Lytechinus pictus: one gene and its partners. The protein of the gene in region 2 purifies or fractionates together with the protein of the main gene of each other region. This does not show direct contact. Links are inferred from orthologs where the notes say so. Each region holds a gene or a part of one and is shown on either strand. Other genes may lie near its edges.

Evidence for each region.
Region 1: the proteins of zygotic DNA replication licensing factor mcm3-like (region 2) and DNA replication complex GINS protein PSF2-like purify together in Drosophila melanogaster (affinity purification with western blotting; 3 studies listed by BioGRID, with this or other methods). This does not show direct contact. The link is inferred for Lytechinus pictus from reciprocal best matches to the Drosophila melanogaster genes Mcm3 and Psf2.
Region 3: the proteins of zygotic DNA replication licensing factor mcm3-like (region 2) and cell division control protein 45 homolog purify together in Drosophila melanogaster (affinity purification with western blotting; 5 studies listed by BioGRID, with this or other methods). This does not show direct contact. The link is inferred for Lytechinus pictus from reciprocal best matches to the Drosophila melanogaster genes Mcm3 and Cdc45.

The regions. Positions count from the first base shown.
Region 1 is NC_087246.1:48,469,853-48,476,889, forward strand, and holds the start of DNA replication complex GINS protein PSF2-like, read right to left. Parts: upstream 3,090-7,037; 5' UTR 2,835-3,089; intron 2,111-2,834; exon of another isoform or gene 1,945-2,110; intron 791-1,944; 5' UTR 325-790; coding exon 120-324; intron 1-119. UniProt on the Drosophila melanogaster protein: The GINS complex plays an essential role in the initiation of DNA replication.
Region 2 is NC_087245.1:38,186,879-38,194,282, forward strand, and holds the start of zygotic DNA replication licensing factor mcm3-like, read right to left. Parts: upstream 3,062-7,404; 5' UTR 2,868-3,061; coding exon 2,799-2,867; intron 1-2,798. UniProt on the Drosophila melanogaster protein: Acts as a component of the Mcm2-7 complex (Mcm complex) (Mcm complex) which is the putative replicative helicase essential for 'once per cell cycle' DNA replication initiation and elongation in eukaryotic cells.
Region 3 is NC_087246.1:10,232,999-10,240,217, reverse strand, and holds the start of cell division control protein 45 homolog, read left to right. Parts: upstream 1-4,104; 5' UTR 4,105-4,336; coding exon 4,337-4,387; intron 4,388-7,219.

The DNA of each region.
Region 1 (7,037 bases), on a different chromosome or scaffold from region 2:
GCTACATAAACCACCTCACCCCCCCCCCCTCCCTGCACAAACACATATTCCATTCAATTCATTTCACTGTCCCTCTCCCAACCATTCCATCCTCCTATCACCAACCATGAATAACTTACCGACATTCATCCAATCTGGTGGTTGGATCCGGCACTTCTGTCTCTGTTTCAGATTGACAGCCATCCAGAGGGGGACCTTCATGGGTAAACTAGGATTGAACGGTCCAACGTTGCCCGCTATCAAGAAGACTTCATCGTGGGAGAAGTTGGGAACGATCGTGACCTCCTGCTTCTCTGCCAGGAACTCCACTTCAGACGGATCCATACCCACACTGTTCAATTGTTTGGATGAAAGGTCTTATGAGTATGACCTCTCTGATTGAGTGTACACAGCCAATATTTCTCTTCAAATCAGCACCATCTGAGTTGTCTTGCTTCAAGGAATATGCATCAGAGTGCAGTCTCAAGTCTTGATATTCCAATGTTCTTTAGGAAAGTAGGAGCACATCAGCCAATCTAGAACTATAAGTCCCACTTTAATCCTTTATCTGTGCTTGTGTAAAAGTGCACATGACACCTTTAAACTTTCCCTTCCCCCTTTTAAAATTCAAATTCAAGGTTTGTTTTTTTAGATCCGAAACTGACAGGTTAATTTCTTAATTTATCAGTATCATCAAATGAGGTGAGTCTGTCCCTTAGTTCATGAAAGTACATGTAAAGGCCTTGAAAGTTTGTGAAGGCAAAGTGACAAGTTTCCTGTTCTGCGGCCTCTAGTTAGTTGAAAATCAGTCCTGAAACAAGTGAGAGAAAAAAAATACATATTGAACTTAATTCAGTCAAATCAGTTGTTACATATGGGCATAAGTACAAGAAAAAATATGATTATACATTTCAATACATTCAAATTTTTAAGTGGCAGCTCTTACTTTTAAAGTTAGAATAGCCTTAGAACAGTGTCTTTGGTTGAACCCTTCTTCGTAAGAATTATTCAACCTTTTTATGAAGCCGATGGGGGGGGGGGGATACAAAGAAAAGTCCTTAGAAAGACATCAACTTCAGACACATCCTCCAGCTAAGAACAAAACCCAAACAAGATGTTGCTCTTTTCATTTACAAAATACACAAGTTTGACCATTTTCTTGTTGATCTCCATGTCAAAACATACAAAAAGAGACTTTCAGAGTTAAAATAATGCCTTATGCCATAATCCCTATATACTAGCATAGAAGCACTTTAAATCTGGCGAATTGCACTTAGTGCCTAGCCGTAGGCATGAACTTCTTTGCACATCATACGCCACCATCAGCGAAGGGAGAAAATGCATTTTCCAGCACCAATCCGGATAAGGGATTTATCCGGATCTGGGAGACCCAATATTAAATACACGCAGCTGCTGCTTCGATCCCCAGCCAAATTAAGTCACTGTTTTGTCTTTTTTAAATTATTTTTTCCCACTTTTGGTGCATTTCAAGCCAAAACAGAATAGATCTAATAATATTAATATAAAATTATAATCTTTTTTTTTTGGTCCAGTTCTTTTTAGGCTAGCCTGCCTAGGCCTATATTATTTTTGTGAAATAAAGACAAAAATCGATGAGCCCGGCCCCGTCAGGGGGATTTTGCATTATTTACCCCCTAATGGCGGCTGCACAATCGCGAGCCATCTGTGTACGAGGAGAATTTAAACAAATATATAAATGTTTAAAAAACTCCTCGAAACAGACGGCTGCAGCACTCCTAGTACCAATGAGGTCCAACATTACATGTATGGACCTCATAGGCGACATCAGTAGTATTTTGTGTCAGAAATCTTTGTGAAGATGATTATTTTTGTATTTTATCAAAACTACAAGCTATCGTACTGTCTAATCATTACATTTCGATCTCACTAATTGAATACATTGTTAGCAATAAAAAAAATTGAAAGAAATGAAGGGGAACTTACATTTTCACGGCTTTTTCCTGATTTTCTGGGCAACTGCTCTTCTCTTCTGACTCGCGATCGAAGCTGATATGAAGATCACGTGATTCGCGTTCTCGTCAGCTGATCGGTTGGTTATTCTTTTCGTCAGACGTTAATAATATATATTTTATAATGCTAGCATTCATCGCTAATTTAGGTGAAAGAGATTGAAGTTAAACAGCGCCAGGTCGGAATCATAATTATTTTGGAAGAGTGTATTTATACACTCGATCTCATACCTGACGTAGACGGCGCTATTCAACAAATGCACAATCTATTTAAAAATAAAACAGAAAGAACGCCTTGAACACAGGCCAAAATGCCTAACGATTTCTCCGCGGCATTAACAACAATCGTAAAGGGCGCTCCATTTATCAATAAAGATGGATGCTAAGCTGTCTATGGCGACAAAATTTGCCGCAAATATTTACGAAGAATTGTGAGAAATGGTCTGAAAATGCAACAAAAGAACCGGTGAGTACCGATTAAACATTATCAATTTATTTAATAGAACATATTTAATTACTACAATGTAACGATTTCTAGATAATATTGCTTAGTTCTAAGCTAGGGAGGCCCAAACGCGCGTGAGCGGAGTCCCACTTTATTAGCACGGGTAAGTATTGGGGTGTCGCCTAGAGTGGGCTGCAGCTGCCACTTGTGCCAGCGCCAGCTGTCTACTACTAACTTGTTAGGCCTACGCGAATTACAACGAATGGGACCAGGGTAAGTAGTTCACCCAAAGCTTTGATCTTGTCTTGTCATGTCTTTATGAACCTCAGAGTCAGAACTTTTGATTGATCTTAGATTTAAAACAAAAACGAGAAAAGCATTAATCGTATGATCATTCCCAACCAATGCATAATACATACCATGTTAAAATATCTCCCAAACCCATAAATAGAATGGATACAACTTGTCCAAATTCGCTCAATCTAATTTCCCGCTGGTGTATTATTATTTCGCTGTTTCTTCAATCTTCATTCTCTCGATCTCTCTCATGCATCTCGGCGGCTAATTGGCTAAAGCTGCAAAATTTTGGCCGAGTTACTACCTCAGCGAAATCCCATTAAAAGGCGAGGGGAATTTCCGGGGGAATTTCACCCCGACGAAAAGTTTTAGTGATCGAATATCAGAAAAAAAAAAAAAAAAATTGGTAAAGGTTTGAGGACAATCCATCACAGATTTCAAAAAAGGAGAAAAAAGGGGAAAGAGAAGAGAAACGGGATAAGAATAACATAAAGTTAAAGGAGAGGATTTAAGGAATCGGGGAAGAAAAGTGAAGAAAATGAGAGGAGGGGAGAATAACAAAGAGCAAACATTTTCGCTTTTTCTTGTCTCCATATCATAACAAAACTTATGTTAACCCTTCAAGGTTTCATGATAGAAAATTAAAATTATTACATTTTTTCCATAACCTATTATGCATTATCATTATCTTGATTGTCACTGTGGTGAAATCAAATCAAGCAAATGTTGATTTTTTTTTCTCGCACGCTTCGCCCGCTCGCAATATGCTATTGTAAAAAATAAAAAGGCAAACGGGTATTTATATGTTGTTGTTTGTTGGAAATTAATGGCGACCAGTCATATTTGACTATTACCGCCAACTCGTTTGGTCAACTATTATTTTCTTTCTTTTCTTTGACGTGTCCTTTATAATCGTTCCTCTCCTTTCTTTGTTTGTTTTTGTTTTTTGTTTTTTAATAATAATTTTTATTATTATAAAGGCTATCGTATCTTACAGGTTACCGCATGATCCCGTCCCTTCTAGCGACACCGTCCAGACATCGTCCTGTCTCTCCGGTGTAGACAGGGGGCTCCCCCCGGGGGGGGCACTCAGTATATAATGCATAGTGGGTATGTGCCGCGGAGGGGACCCCCATTTTTACACTCAAATTTCCGTTCCGAGGCATAGCATTTTTGTCTTATTGAGAAAAAGAACAAAGAAAGCCGCTCCAAAGCATAGCATTTTCTTCTTTTCGAGAAAAAAGAAGAAAAAAATCCGCTCCAGGGCATCGCATATTTTCCGTTACGCCGTTCCGGTCGCAATTTTGGTGAAAAGCGGCCGCAGCTCGCTGCCCGACCATCGCCTCTGCGCTAGCGCGCCCGTCAGTCGTGCCGCCGGGCTATAGCTGCATGCACGTTCCATAGGGATGCATACGCACTCGCACGCAGGCGACCCGTTCCAAGGACCCCCGTTTTCACAAACATTTGTAGTTCCGAGCCCGTTCCGAGGACCCTCCTTTTTACAATAAGCCCGCTCCAAGGCCCCCGTTTTTTGTCTCGCCCGCGGCACACCCCTACCACTTTTTTGGTCGAGTGCCCCCCCCGGGGGGCTCCCTTTGGGATACTCTATAGTCTTGAAACTCGGAAAATAAATAGAGCAATAAACTGTTAAAGAGTCTTTTCCCGTGAAATGATCTCGCATATAATTACCAATCAAATACATGTATGTCTGTTTTGTTTTGTAAAGAGAAAATATAAAATTTGATATGGGGAGGTTCGGATTATTCGAAATTTATGGGGGCATCCAAAATGAGGGCTTTAATAAATGAAATGGTGCATTGTTAAATCAAGGTTGTAAGTTAGATGGATATGATCGAGTTAGTAAAAAAAAAAAATATATGTATATACACACACATGCATATACATTTTTTTTTCAATTTCTTCATCTTTATTCTTTTTCCTTTCATTTCTTCTCCTCTTCCTTCCATTTTCTTCTTTTTTTTTCTTTTCTTTTTTCCTCCTTCCTTTCCTTTTCCTTTCTTTTCCCTTTTATTTTCTCTTTATTATTTCCTTTGTCTTTCTCAGTTTTTTCTCTTTTCTCTTCTTTTTTTTTCTCTTTTTCTTTTTTTTTCAAAATGATAATGAGCTCTACTGAATACAAGGAATATAACCCAGAGGGAAGAGAGATACATCTTATTCTAAAACAAACAGAACAATAACCATCGTCTCATGTGGTCATCATACTCATATAAATGACATATATATATACACAAATACACACATATGTACCTATATGAACAAATAAATAATTACATACTAATCAAATAGATATATTTCTCTCTTTCGTTCACGAAAAAAAAAAAAAAAAACAGTGCATTTTGGACACCTGGGTCCCAAGAATTCAGGAGCCTAAGGATTTCCTCGGGATCGGCGATGTCTGCCTCGACAAGAAGCATCGACCTTTCAATTATATACTTAGGGCATTTTACAATGTAGTGTTCAATTGTTTCTTTCTCCGGACATGAATTGCACTGTCCCGTTGGGTGTATTTTCATTCGCCAGAGATCTTCATTTAGTCCTATATGACCTAATCGGAGTCGACGAAATATCTTTTCTCTTGCTATATACATACACATACATACATTTATGTTTATTGGTTACTTGTTGTATACACTGACATACACACACACCCACCCTCACACGTAGAGAATGGGCGGGGGCATAAATACACATACATACATTTATGGCTATTATAGTATTGGTTACTTTAATTGTATACACTGACATTTTTTAAAATACTGTTTTTATTCTGATTTCATGAACAAATAGTTACATAACATTTCAAATTTTTTTCCTTTTTTTTTTCTGTTCTTATTATAAATTGAAATAAATCACAAAATTTACAAATGATTATTAGGTGATTGCAAATCACATAAACACAAGTTAATTATACAAAAAAGACAAAATAACCATAATAATAAAAAAAAAAACCTACCCACTTATCCTCCCCCACCCCCCAAAAAAGGAATGTGGCAAAGTGATAACTTAATATCAGTGTTATCTAAACAAAGATAGGTGATTTGGTAAATAAAGTAGACAAAACAAAATATACAAGCTATGATTATAAAATGGTTTCCCAACAACTATTGATAGGATTAAAAAACACAACTAGTTATCCAAGACGACATAAATATGGAGGTATTTAAACGAACAAGTATATCAAGGAAACTGAGATACAAGTTGCATTAAAAAAATGGGAACTGATGTCTACAACCATATAACCAATACAGTGCAGTATTACTTTTAAAAAATGGGGCACTAAGCCTGTTATACAAAATATACATTATTAGTTATCATGTAACCTGTTGACATTTTTGAAAACCAAATTATAAGGTGAATCGCCACTTCTTAAAGTGAGCGGGCAACTTATTTTTTTTCTTAGCTATCAAATATTCCAAGTCCTGTTGTTTTTTAAAAAAATTTTTAAAAAGAGCATAACTTGGAGGATTATTCTTAAATGTACATGTATGAATATAATACTTCAAAAGTAAGAAAAGGTATGAAATGAACTTATCAGCTGGGAGTCCAAACATTTTTTCAAAATTAGAACCATTTATTTGAACATTATTTTGGGAAATTTTTGTTAAAAGGGATTGCCAAATAGGAATTACCCTTTCACATTCGCAAAACAGGTGGACTATTGTTACCTCACTTTTATCACAGAAAACACAATTGGGTGAGTCCTTAGATTTAATCTTATATAAAAAATCATTTAATGCTATGGCTTTATGAAAAATCTTAAAATAGAATGATCTTAATTTAGTATCAATGGTACAAAAAAAATTGTATAATGTACCTTTTCCCAATCGATAGATACTGGTATTGGTAAATGTTCATCCCAATAAGTGTATCTTTTGACAGGTGTGTGTGATCCCCTAAATAAAATGTATGAATTTCTAGGGACTTTTTTATAACTCAACAATTTATGTACAATTGTTTCATGAACACCTATAATATCAGGGTCAAAACTCATCAACCATTCTTCCGGGATGCACTCAATTAAAAAATTACATTTCCTTCTGTCTGTTTGGGGGATTCCAAAATCTAACACAAGCTCTTCAAAGATTTTGTGGCCTAAAAGAGGGGGATTAAATAAGTCTGACATCATTAAGACATTTCTCTCATGCCACATTGGATAATTAAGATACTGTTTAGTTTTTGAACGAATGAATTTGTTATACCACAGAAGTTGACAACCACTCAAGTCTGAAAATTTGTTACCATAAAATTCGACAGCAGCTTCCTCCCTATAAATGAATACCACATTCACAATGCTTCAGATAATT
Region 2 (7,404 bases):
CTTATGGAGGAAGGATACAACTTAGAGAGAGAGTGGTAATATTTTTTTTCTGGTAGATGAAGTTGATTTCTCTTTTTTCTCACCAATTATTCTAGACCCCTATAATAATTCTAACATACAGTACATCTAGGCCTAGGGTAACATGCGAAGTATTTGTTATGTCATTTTTGGTTTCAAAGGCTAATTTATAAGCCACCAAACTTTGATAAGTCAGATCTAAACACATTACAACTAATGATAAATGTTCAACCCACTGACCACTTGTGGATCAGGGGGGGGGGGGGGGCGGCACAGTCGGCCCTTGTCCCCCCCCCCCTTTCGAGGGGCACAATCAAAATTTGTAATGTACATATACCTCTATAACTTTATAACTCTAATGTGCCCTCACCCCCTTTTTACTCTTTTTTTTCTTGTCAAATTTTGTTTGTGGACGAAATGACCTTAAAACTTGGGAGAAACTTTTTTGGGGGGGTCAAATTTTCCTCAGGGAAAATGTGCCTCCCCCTTTTGGAAAATCCTGGATCCACCCTTGCCACTGACCACTTTTGAAATCAGTCAAATTGGCCTTTTAATTGCATATGGTCAGTGTGTTCAATGTCGATTTTTAAATTTAAATAGCAACAAATCTTGTTGAATTACAAAACACAGAACACGATCAGCGGTGCAATGTTCAGTGTCGAAAATATAAAGCTTATTTGTTGATCACCTTTAAATTTCCCGCTTTCATTTCGTTATACTTATAGCACAGTTTAACTTTAGTGTGTAGTTTGACTCATCAGTCACAATTAGAAATCAGGTCAATTCTAGCTGGCACCTGCTCGAGCAGCTAGGTTTTGACTGCACTGCGAGAGCAAATTTAGAGTTTGAAAGCTCAATCATGTTCAGAGTTGCACATTCGATCGCGATGCTGAAGGTTGTAAAATCTGAGCTGATAGAGTTTACCAACGCATCTTTTTCAATGTTTAATTAAATTTTCCTCTGAAACATGATTTGAAAGACATTTATTAAATTTAGATCTAGATCTAACTTTTTTTGTTAGATCGATCTAGATCTAGACTTTAGTCTAGATCTACATACTATAGTAACTTATATAGATGAATGAGAATGGAGGACATTTTTTTAATGCACACCCTTTTTTGTTTCCATGTTTACAATCATTCATGATTCAAGTTAAGTTAGGCCCAACGTTGGTAGAATAGCTAAGGTTTAAATTTGGAAACCAACATTGCATTGAACACACCCAAGCCAAGGGCAGGCCTACATTAGGCCTAACGTTCGATCTAACTTAAACTAAAGGACAAGTTCACCCCAACAAAAAGTTGTTTTAAACAAATAGAGAAAATCCAAGAAGCATATAACACTGAAATTTCATCAAAATCGGATGCAAAATAGGAAAGTTATGACATTTTGAAGTTTTGCTAATTTCACAAAACAGCTATATGCACATCCTGGTTGGTATACAAATGAGGGGACTGATGACGTCACTCACTCGTCACTATTTCTTTTGTATTCTCTTATATGAAATATTTTAATTTTCTCCTCATTGGAAGGTAAAATAGGTTTTCTTCCTCCATGAACACGAGGAATTAAATTGTTTCTAACTTTTATGGTTCAGTAAAGCTGGTCCTTATTGTCAAATCTGTAAAAATTGAAATATTGTATAATTCAAACAAAAAACAAAAGAAATAGTGAGTGAGGGACATCATTGACTCTCTGCCGCGGTCCCGGTAAAATCCAGGTCAAGCATTGGCGGCGGAGCAAAGGATTATCTTCTGTGTTTGGGGGGACGCAACAATACGCGTCCCCTCCCCCCCCCCAAACACAAAATATAATCCTCTGCTCCGCCACCAATGAGGTCAAGTACCTGATGCATTTATGCCCAGGACTGGAGGGCCACCATATACATCCAGGGGAGCGTTTCATCAATATTTTCATCCGACAAGTTGTCAGATCTGACATCTTTCCATGATTTTGATTGGCTGAGAGGCACTGTTCCTATATGGTAACTGTCGGATAAAATGGGACTTGTCGGATAAAACGTCCGACAAGTCCTTTCATGAAACGCCCCCCAGATCTCATTTGCATGTTGCTGCATGAGACTGAGTTGTGAATATAACTCAGTTAACTGCTTTGTGAAAAATAAGCGAAACTTTAACTCATATCTTTCCTATTTTACATCCGATTTTGATGAAATATTCAACGTTATTGTTTGATTTTTCTCTAATGTTATTGATTAAAATCAAATTTTTTTCTGGGGTGGACTTGATCTTTAAATTTAATTTAATCTAGATCTATTCTAGGGCCTAGATTAGAAAATTAGATCATGATGATGTCAATAGATTTATCTTTAATGCTAGAAAAAAAATATATAGGCCTAGGCCTAATAAGCTTCCGTTAAAAAAAAACGGTTAATGACTCATGAACGTAACTATAAATAATTAGAAACAGATCCAACTTGTCTTGTCTTTCCGTTGATGCCCACAATCAAAGTGTTGATTATTATGGCAACGCGTTAGACTTATTATTATTAACGTTAGTTAGAAGTTAGAAGAAAGAAAACTCTAACTTATAATTGTGGGCAGGTGAGCTTTAATTAGGCCTAGATCTAAGACGTGAATATTAATATTTTTCTAAAATTATTCTCGCGTACCTTAACGACATCAAGTTTCAAAATCAAATTCAAATTTTCATTCAATTTCATGCAACTTTTAACTGTTGTTACTTCCATCAACAGACAACAAGAGAAAACAAAAACGTCCAACAGCCAACAGGCAACAAAATTAATCATTCAAACTTACATCATCGTCCAGAAATTCTAGATATTCACGCTGGTAATCTCTCAACTGTTGATCAATGTCGGTATCCATGATTTAGCTCGGAAGTTTCTTTTTAACTGAAGGAAATGTGACAGAAACTAGAAGAAGTCCACACTTTTCATGCATGTAAACAAAGAATATCTGCGCCAGTGCAGTGTACATGCAGTTTAAATGCCCGATCTTTATGCACAAAACACACGAACGTGCATCGCACACAATTTTCGCGCCACGATCAACATGTGATTGATCAACCCGCGGGACCTTTAACTAATTCTAGTTCACTGATTGGCTATCTGAATAGACTAGTCTACAGTCCACAGACTCCTTTGTATCATGATGAAATAAAATGAAATTTCTAGAATTATTACATACCAGCAGTACCAGCTAATACTCGGCCTTTATATCATAGGCCACACACGTACACTGATTGAAATGGGCGATTTATGCAAAAAAAATATGTCATGTGTATATATAATAAACCTATATTATTAGCAATTCCATTCAATGTCAATGACAGACTTTTACATGAAAAAAAATCATAAGAAAATTGCACCCGTATAGACTTTTACAAATAATGAGGCATGTGTGTGTGGGGGGGGGGGGGGGGGCACGATGACCCCCTCAAAGTTTCACATGATTTTTCAGAAACGTAAAAAGAAAATATGTAAATTCCTTGCATGTTAACCCCCTATTATATTTTTTCTCTTATGGTGTAGACTAGAGTCTATGCGCTCTCCTTTTCTGACTTGCTTATATTCTAATTCATTTTAATCTGTTTTGTTTCAGAATACAAGGGATCGCCTTAGACAAGCCAATCGTTTATTGCGGATCCCCCACATCCACTATATATCTACCATCCACTATATATATCTGCTATGTAATGTTATTCACTCTTTATCTTTTTATGTCTCCTGTATTATATATATATTACATTTCCATCTTTTATTTGCTTTTAGATTTGTTTTTAATGATTTTTTTCTATTTATCATGTGTATTCATATGAATGTGTATGTATACAATGCATTGTACGTGTTATTTAAAAGTTTTTTATGAGATGTGAAATAAAACTTGAATTGATGGAATTTAACTGAAAATATGCAAATAATGTTTTTGTGGATAAATTTGCATATTTGAATCCATAATAATAACTTTAAAAAATAATCGTTTTGGGATTTTTTTCTTGAATTTGTAGTTTCTGCTATAAAGAGCTCCCGATGGAAAGAAGTGCTCCTGAAGGGGGAAGTTCACCCTGACAAAAAGCTTGTTGTAAAATACCATAAAAAATAAGAAGATATTGGTGAAGGTTTGGGGAAAATCAATCAAAGATCAAGAAAATTATGTAATATAAAATACATGAATTTCAATTTTTTTCATGGTCCATGATGACTAACATTTTTCTTGCAGGAGATTGAGTGAAATTACTTGTCAGTGGATATACTGAAGGTACAATAAAAAAAAAACAATTTTTGAATTTTTGAGAAAATGATATTTTGTTAGTTTTAATTCACTACACATGGGAAATTGCTTGCATATGATGTCACAAATCAATAAAATCCTAACTTCAAATAAGTTTTTTGATCTTTGATGGATTTTCCTTAAACATTCACCAATATTACTTTTCTGCTAATTTCTCAATAAACTTTTGCCAGGGTTAACTTTCCCTTTAAATTACAAGGATAATTTTAATTGAAGGTTCTCATTAAGATGCAAGGTAAGTGGGACGTCTCATTCAATCATAGACAGAATGGCCAGTATTCTGAAGTCAGGTTTAACTTAGACCATGGTCTAACTCTGCTAAAATTATGGGAAGCCAAAAGTGTCAAAATTTTTATTAAGTTGTATGCATCTTATATTTACTGTGCTCTTTCCTTATTCTTCAATGGTGAAGACAATCATCTATTTATATTTCCTAGACAATTATGAATGATTTGACAGCCAAATGAGCTGGAATATGATATCTCTACTCTTAGCGATTTATTTAGCAATTGGCTATCCATACTTAAACCACAACTTTAAACCTGAGTTTGAGTTAAACCCGACTTCAGAATACGGGCCAATCACTTTAAATGTTAATAGGTTCATGGTGAAACACACACTACTGGGTCACATTGCACGATGGGAACTCTGCCATCCAATAAGCCTGTTCACGGTTGTAAACTGCGCACGAGCAGAAAAAGGTCATTGGAGACAACCATGAAGGTGGCTTTCAAATTCACTGACATAGGCATTATTTGATGATTAATAATAATAATAATAATAATAGTTGGATTTATAAAGCGCTTTTTGCCAGAGGATACAAAGCACTGCTATTATTACCCCGGCTTTAGCTCGAGCTACCATCACCGGCGCTCAGTGCATGCAAGGAATTACTCCTGCCGGGTACCCATTCACCTCACCTGGGTCGAGTGCAGCACAGTGTGGATAAATTTCTTGCTGAAGGAAAATACGCCATGGCTACGATTCAAACACACGACCCTCTGTTTCAAATTATTCATATATTCCTTTCAAAATATTTATCACATCCAAGCTGAAGAGTAATAAATAGAGCCTTCATAATCACTGGTATTTGACAGTAGCCTACACAATAGTCAAATGTACCAAAGGCAGACAATAAAACAGATTTCCAAACTTTATCCCTGATGTACTATTCTAGTCACCTGGTCTATATAATGCCTTTTGTTCTTAGAATTTGAATACTCTACCAGTAAAGCTTACGCAGCATCTACATTTGAAAATGATAGTGCTTATCCTAATGAAAAATCACAAAGGTCATTTGAAAAAAGTTGATCATGAGCTAACCGTGAACTGGCTTATTGTAACTACCATGGCAACAATACCCAACAGCCAATAAGAATCAAGAATTCAAACAGAGTTACCATTAGATGGCAAAATTATCATAATACCTATATTTATGGAACAGGGTCCTGGCAATTGCTCCATATTGCTTCTGCAATCTACAACATGCCAAGAAATTAAATACAGACACAAGTCATGTTCAGATGATTTTTTTAACACACTCTTTTATTACTTTTCTTACATGTTGTACAAAGAGAAAGAAAAAAATGAGTATGTTCCTCGCTTTACAATGTGTACAGCTTATATAAGATACACTCCAATCTGAAGTGCCTACCTACTGGTTGGGGTGACTTAATAATACTGCTAATCACTTTCCCATTCACCAATTCAGTCAAGTTAAGAAACAAAAATCAACAATTGACAATGTACTATGCACAAACAATTTTTTTTTACAATCACCATTCAATAGGCAGGCGCACCAAAAAATAGTGATAATATGCAATGATAGAATAATAAAAATCCATGAAAAAGAGATATTCACATAAAAATATTTAAAACAAGACATTTCTATTTTTCATGCAGGCAATTTTACACAAAATGACATGCACACGATATGGCTTGACCAAACATTGATGAAGGGAAAGAGAATAATAAATCAAGATTGTAAATTCAGAATATCCAAGAAAGAAATTGACTAAATCTATACAAATGAACAAATTTCCATGAGAATTTATCAACTACTATTTTTTCAACATCAATGGTATATGGTTTGATTCCTTCAAGACATTTTATAATTGACAGCTAGAAACTTTCATAGCAAGTCAACCAACCATTTTTGTAAAGCTCACTTTCAGACATTTTCCCCCTTGGATGCTAACTTCTTGTGTCTAATTTTCATTTTTGTTTATTTGACAAGAACAAAGAAATCAGTAATAAAAATCTGCAATCTGCTTTTTTTTTTATCCCAAAAGAAACCTTACATACCAACTTGAAGTAACAATCATAACGATGTATACTTGGAAAGCTGGTTTTCTACAAATGACTTATTTTATTTGTTTCCACAGTTTTGTTTGCTTTCAATTAAACAATCTCAAAAAGCTTGTACCTTAGGACAAAAAAAGTTTACAATCATCTACTTTACAAACGGATGAATACACTCGACTTCGGACCAATACACAAATATCATTCAGAAAAGTACAACATATATAGAGGGCCAATTCTATTTCACAATTTTGTGTACATGAGGAGGGATGTAAAACATAAACATTTGTACAGAAATAAAACAAATAAAGTGTTCTCTGAAATTTACACTTGCTACTGTACAAATGTACACTTTTTTCATAATAGGGAACATTTCCTGTGCTAGTTATCTTTCTTTTGGACAAAATCTACATCAAAATTACAAATCCATATATGGATAAATACATAATACATGATCACACCAAAAAATGCTACCATATTGATATTCTGTTCACAATTCTAAAACTGAAATAAACCAATTCATTTTCTTCTTTTTGAAATAAATTAAAATGGACAAAATACATCACATTCGGCCTTTACACATTCCCCTTTATACACGGGCAACACTTGTAAATTCAAACAAATTATCCAATATAAAATTGCGTGCAGTATAAAATGATCTGAAAAAATTGCAGTAAATTCCCTCGTCATAGAGCGTTTAATAATCATAATTTATGAGAATATACAAAATGCCATGATGAAAGGTGGCCGCTATGACAGACAAATCTGCACAGAACCCTCTACTTACATAATTGCCATCATTTTGGAAAAT
Region 3 (7,219 bases), on a different chromosome or scaffold from region 2:
GCAATTTTATAAAGTATCCCCGTGCCGAAATTACTTCTAACTTCAGCATATTACCTTTTGACCCTCATCCGCGGGAAAAATGAAATAGTATTGGAGCCTATTGTCATCAGATTTATTATATTTACTTCCAAGTCAGCAACATTATGTTCATTACAGACATTAAAACACAATTCTATGACGTTATTCTACATCATGTAAGTATTTTCTACTGTGTTTTCATTGTGTGAACTTGATATGAATTCTATTCGTTTGTATTTAATTTCATCGCCGTCTTTCCAAGTACGGTCCCACCCGCTCAAATCGATGTTTGTTACTAAGTCTAAGAGTAAGAGTTATTTTTTTTTGCAGTGTTATTTTTTCAGTCACAGTCACTCACATACTAGACCAAAAGCTTCAGTCTCTGTATTTTGGTTGTTCCGCTGAACTACGTTGGCTCCACTCACCATACATAGACTGAAGGGGATGGGGCCCCGTACCTACAGCCAACGTATAGTGAACTAGCGTTTTATAGATCGCGATTTAAAACTGTTTTTGGCTTAACTGCAGAATACCCCGACACTGCTCACTACCCAATCGTTGGTCAGCCAACACAACGATGTCAAGACCTATAGCTATATACTAATTCAATGGTATATAGCCTAGATATATCCATACTATTATATACGTACATGCATTACTGGTACTACTACTACTACTATACTACGTACGTACGTACGTATGACGGTACGTACGAGCAATGCATCCAGGCCATACGTAATGACCTTTGCCCTTTGACTACTACTAGAGCTATAATTAAACATCGTTGGGTGCGCTGCTAGCCAACGACCCACGTTGTGACGGTACGGACGGTGCAATATAATATTCAAAACATCGCTAGCCAACGACCAACGATGTGACGGTGCCATGTAACATTTAAAACATCGTTGGCTAACCAACGACCCACGATGTGAAGGTGCAATAGTACAAGATTAATACACTCTTTTAAATTACCTACTACTACTAGCTATTGCTATACATCGTTGGGTGCGCCGCTAGCCAACGACCAACGATGTGACCGTGCAATGCAACATTCAAAACATCGTTGGCAAGCGTTTCAAAGTATGGTTTCACAAAACAGTTTAATATATGCATATCCTGGTTAGTGAGGTGATCGATGTCATTCACTCTCTATTTCTTTTGTATTTTTTATACATGAAATATTTTCATTTTTTCTTCATTAAAATATGAAATAAAGTTTTAATTCCCATTGAAGGAATTCAATGGGAATTGAATTCAATTAGGGTTAGGGTTAGGGTTAGGGTTAGGGTTAGGGTTAGGGTTTAGGGTTAGGGTTAGGGTTAGGGTTAGGGTTAGGGTTTAGGGTTAGGGTTAGGGTTTAGGGTTAGGGTTAGGGTTAGGGTTAGGGTTAGGGTTTAGGGTTAGGGTTAGGGTTAGGGTTAGGGTTAGGGTTAGGGTTTAGGGTTAGGGTTAGGGTTTAGGGTTAGGGTTAGGGTTAGGGTTAGGGTTAGGGTTAGGGTTATATTCACATCGTTGGCATCGCCGGCAATGTTGGCCTCTACAACAGGCATATTCACATCGTTGGCATCGCCGGCAATGTTGGCCTATGTAAGATACATTCACATCGTTGGCACTGTTGGCATCTACTACAGGCACCAACACATCGTTGGCATCGCGGGCGCTGTTGGTATATACATACTAAACATACATTCACATCGTTGGCATCGCCGGCAAAGTTGGCCTATACTTACTAAAGATACATTCACATCGTTGGCATCGCCGGCAATGTTGGCCTCTACTACAGGCATATTCACATCGTTGGCATCGCCGGCAATGTTGGCCTCTACTACAGGCATATTCACATCGTTGGCATCGCCGGCAATGTTGGCCTATGTAAGATACATTCACATCGTTGGCACTGTTGGCATCTACTACAGGCACCAACACATCGTTGGCATCGCGGGCGCTGTTGGTATATACATACTAAACATACGTTCACATCGTTGGCATCGCCGGCAAAGTTGGCCTATACTTACTAAAGATACATTCACATCGTTGGCATCAATGGCAAGGTTGGCCTGTACTACAGACACCAACACATCGTTGGCATCCTGGCCGGCGCTGTTGGCCTATACGTACTAAAGATACATTTACATTGTTGGCATCGTTGGCACTGTTGGCATCTACTACAGGCACCAACACATCGTTGGCATCGCGGGCGCTGTTGGCCTATACATACAAAAGATACATTCACATCGTTGGCATCGCGGGCAAGGTTGGCCTATACTACAGACACCAACACATCGTTGGCATCCTGGCCGGCGCTGTTGGCCTATACGTACTAAAGATACATTTACATTGTTGGCATCGTTGGCACTGTTGGCATCTACTACAGGCACCAACACATCGTTGGCATCGCGGGCGCTGTTGGCCTATACCTACTAAAGATACATTCACATCGTTGGCATCGAGGGCAATGTTAGCCTGTACTCTACAGTACAGACACCAACACATCGTTGGCATCGCGGGCAATGTTGGTCTACATAGGAAACTACAGATATGATCGCATCGTTGGCATCACGGGCACTGTTGGCATGTACTACAGACACCAACACATCGTTGCCATGGTGGGCAATGTTGGTTTACATAGGCAACTACAGATATGATCGCATCGTTGGCATCGAGGGCAATGTTGGCCTGTACTACAGACACCAACACATCGTTGGCATCGCGGGCAATGTTGGTCTACACATACTACGGAAATATACACATCGTTGGCATCGCGGACACTGTTGGTCTACATACTACAGAACACAGATATAGATCGTTGGCATCGAGGGCAGTGTTGGCCTGTACCGACTACAGACACCAACACACCGCTACCATCGCGGACTGTGTTGGCCTACACGTACTACGAAAATATACACATCGTTGGCATCGCGGGCAATGTCGGCCTACATACTACAGATGCACACAGATATATATATAGATCGTTGGCATCGCGGGCAGTGTTGGCCTGTACTACGGACACCAACGCACCGCTAGCATCGCGGACTGTGTTGGCCTACACGTACTACGAAAATATACACATCGTTGGCATCGTGGACACTGTTGGTCTACATACTAATCGCGCGCGCTCGCATCGTTAGCGTTACAGTGCAGTCTGAACACTTAGAATCTATTCAAAAAATACTTGTAAGTTGTAAATCATTCAATTATTTATTATAGCTGATTTTCTGATTTGATAGCTTAAGTACATCGTTGTGCGTTGGCTCTCCAACGATAAGGTAACGCAGTGTCCGGGTATTCTGCAGTTGTTCCCTGTTTTTTAAGCAAAATTGAAAGTTTCATGGTTTCCATTATCAGGGAAATATAAATAATAATTAGTAATTGCATACCTTGGGCCGGAGTTATTGAAAAAAATCCTCTGGATGATTGAGAAATCTGTCATCTAAGACATTTTCACCTGACCTGACGGTTTTTCTTGCAAGTTGCCATCTTGAATGACGTCATTATCGTTATTAACTTAATGTCTCGAATCGATATATCGCGATTATAACTAGTACTAGTACTAGTATAACTAGTATCGTTTATCTTCGGTTTCGTTCGCATATGGAGCAGATCGTATAATATCGAAAGCAATATCGATATCACATTCGTGATTGTTGACGTTCGTTTGTAAATATTTTATAGTTTGGCTGCCATTTTGACCATTTTTATCGTGTTCAACCCAATTAAACATCGGTAAAGTATATTTTTCATGCCTTTTTCATCTATATCGTTTAAAGTGTTTAAAAATTAAATTAATTAATACGTTAAGCTCCATATTAACCTATATTGAGCAAGATATGAATCTCATCGAACGTCAGACAAGGAGAACGTGAATGAAAATTTTATATCGTGACATGAATTTTTTTTTAAAGTCTTCCCCTCACCTTTTTTATTCACTTGTCTCCCTCCTCTTCATTTCCCCCTCTTTTTTCTTCTATCTTTCCCTTCTTTTTTTCGTTCTTTCTCTCCTTTTTTTGCTCAGCCAATTTTTTTCAGGGGGGGGGGGGGCACGTGCCCACCTGCCCCCCCCCCCCCCCCCCCGCCCGCGCCGTATGTATAGCTACGCCACTGCATATGAGTTACATCAAGATCAATACCTCTTCTAAGTACAGAATACATTTCGTTTCTTCTAAATTTTTAAATTGGCAATTTTATAAAGTATCCCCGTGCCGAAATTACTTCTAACTTCAGCATATTACCTTTTGACCCTCATCCGCGGGAAAAATGAAATAGTATTGGAGCCTATTGTCATCAGATTTATTATATTTACTTCCAAGTCAGCAACATTATGTTCATTACAGACATTAAAACACAATTCTATGACGTTATTCTACATCATGTAAGTATTTTCTACTGTGTTTTCATTGTGTGAACTTGATATGAATTCTATTCGTTTGTATTTAATTTCATCGCCGTCTTTCCAAGTACGGTCCCACCCGCTCAAATCGATGTTTGTTACTAAGTCTAAGAGTAAGAGTTATTTTTTTTTGCAGTGTTATTTTTTCAGTCACAGTCACTCACATACTAGACCAAAAGCTTCAGTCTCTGTATTTTGGTTGTTCCGCTGAACTACGTTGGCTCCACTCACCATACATAGACTGAAGGGGATGGGGCCCCGTACCTACAGCCAACGTATAGTGAACTAGCGTTTTATAGATCGCGATTTAAAACTGTTTTTGGCTTAACTGCAGAATACCCCGACACTGCTCACTACCCAATCGTTGGTCAGCCAACACAACGATGTCAAGACCTATAGCTATATACTAATTCAATGGTATATAGCCTAGATATATCCATACTATTATATACGTACATGCATTACTGGTACTACTACTACTACTATACTACGTACGTACGTACGTATGACGGTACGTACGAGCAATGCATCCAGGCCATACGTAATGACCTTTGCCCTTTGACTACTACTAGAGCTATAATTAAACATCGTTGGGTGCGCTGCTAGCCAACGACCCACGTTGTGACGGTACGGACGGTGCAATATAATATTCAAAACATCGCTAGCCAACGACCAACGATGTGACGGTGCCATGTAACATTTAAAACATCGTTGGCTAACCAACGACCCACGATGTGAAGGTGCAATAGTACAAGATTAATACACTCTTTTAAATTACCTACTACTACTAGCTATTGCTATACATCGTTGGGTGCGCCGCTAGCCAACGACCAACGATGTGACCGTGCAATGCAACATTCAAAACATCGTTGGCAAGCGTTTCAAAGTATGGTTTCACAAAACAGTTTAATATATGCATATCCTGGTTAGTGAGGTGATCGATGTCATTCACTCTCTATTTCTTTTGTATTTTTTATACATGAAATATTTTCATTTTTTCTTCATTAAAATATGAAATAAAGTTTTAATTCCCATTGAAGGAATTCAATGGGAATTGAATTCAATTAGGGTTAGGGTTAGGGTTAGGGTTAGGGTTAGGGTTAGGGTTAGGGTTTAGGGTTAGGGTTAGGGTTAGGGTTAGGGTTTAGGGTTAGGGTTAGGGGTTAGGGTTTAGGGTTAGGGTTAGGGTTAGGGTTAGGGTTAGGGTTTAGGGTTAGGGTTAGGGTTAGGGTTAGGGTTAGGGTTAGGGTTTAGGGTTAGGGTTAGGGTTTAGGGTTAGGGTTAGGGTTAGGGTTAGGGTTAGGGTTAGGGTTATATTCACATCGTTGGCATCGCCGGCAATGTTGGCCTCTACAACAGGCATATTCACATCGTTGGCATCGCCGGCAATGTTGGCCTATGTAAGATACATTCACATCGTTGGCACTGTTGGCATCTACTACAGGCACCAACACATCGTTGGCATCGCGGGCGCTGTTGGTATATACATACTAAACATACATTCACATCGTTGGCATCGCCGGCAAAGTTGGCCTATACTTACTAAAGATACATTCACATCGTTGGCATCGCCGGCAATGTTGGCCTCTACTACAGGCATATTCACATCGTTGGCATCGCCGGCAATGTTGGCCTCTACTACAGGCATATTCACATCGTTGGCATCGCCGGCAATGTTGGCCTATGTAAGATACATTCACATCGTTGGCACTGTTGGCATCTACTACAGGCACCAACACATCGTTGGCATCGCGGGCGCTGTTGGTATATACATACTAAACATACGTTCACATCGTTGGCATCGCCGGCAAAGTTGGCCTATACTTACTAAAGATACATTCACATCGTTGGCATCGATGGCAAGGTTGGCCTGTACTACAGACACCAACACATCGTTGGCATCCTGGCCGGCGCTGTTGGCCTATACGTACTAAAGATACATTTACATTGTTGGCATCGTTGGCACTGTTGGCATCTACTACAGGCACCAACACATCGTTGGCATCGCGGGCGCTGTTGGCCTATACATACAAAAGATACATTCACATCGTTGGCATCGCGGGCAAGGTTGGCCTATACTACAGACACCAACACATCGTTGGCATCCTGGCCGGCGCTGTTGGCCTATACGTACTAAAGATACATTTACATTGTTGGCATCGTTGGCACTGTTGGCATCTACTACAGGCACCAACACATCGTTGGCATCGCGGGCGCTGTTGGCCTATACCTACTAAAGATACATTCACATCGTTGGCATCGAGGGCAATGTTAGCCTGTACTCTACAGTACAGACACCAACACATCGTTGGCATCGCGGGCAATGTTGGTCTACATAGGAAACTACAGATATGATCGCATCGTTGGCATCACGGGCACTGTTGGCATGTACTACAGACACCAACACATCGTTGCCATGGTGGGCAATGTTGGTTTACATAGGCAACTACAGATATGATCGCATCGTTGGCATCGAGGGCAATGTTGGCCTGTACTACAGACACCAACACATCGTTGGCATCGCGGGCAATGTTGGTCTACACATACTACGGAAATATACACATCGTTGGCATCGCGGACACTGTTGGTCTACATACTACAGAACACAGATATAGATCGTTGGCATCGAGGGCAGTGTTGGCCTGTACCGACTACAGACACCAACACACCGCTACCATCGCGGACTGTGTTGGCCTACACGTACTACGAAAATATACACATCGTTGGCATCGCGGGCAATGTCGGCCTACATACTACAGATGCACACAGATATATATATAGATCGTTGGCATCGCGGGCAGTGTTGGCCTGTAC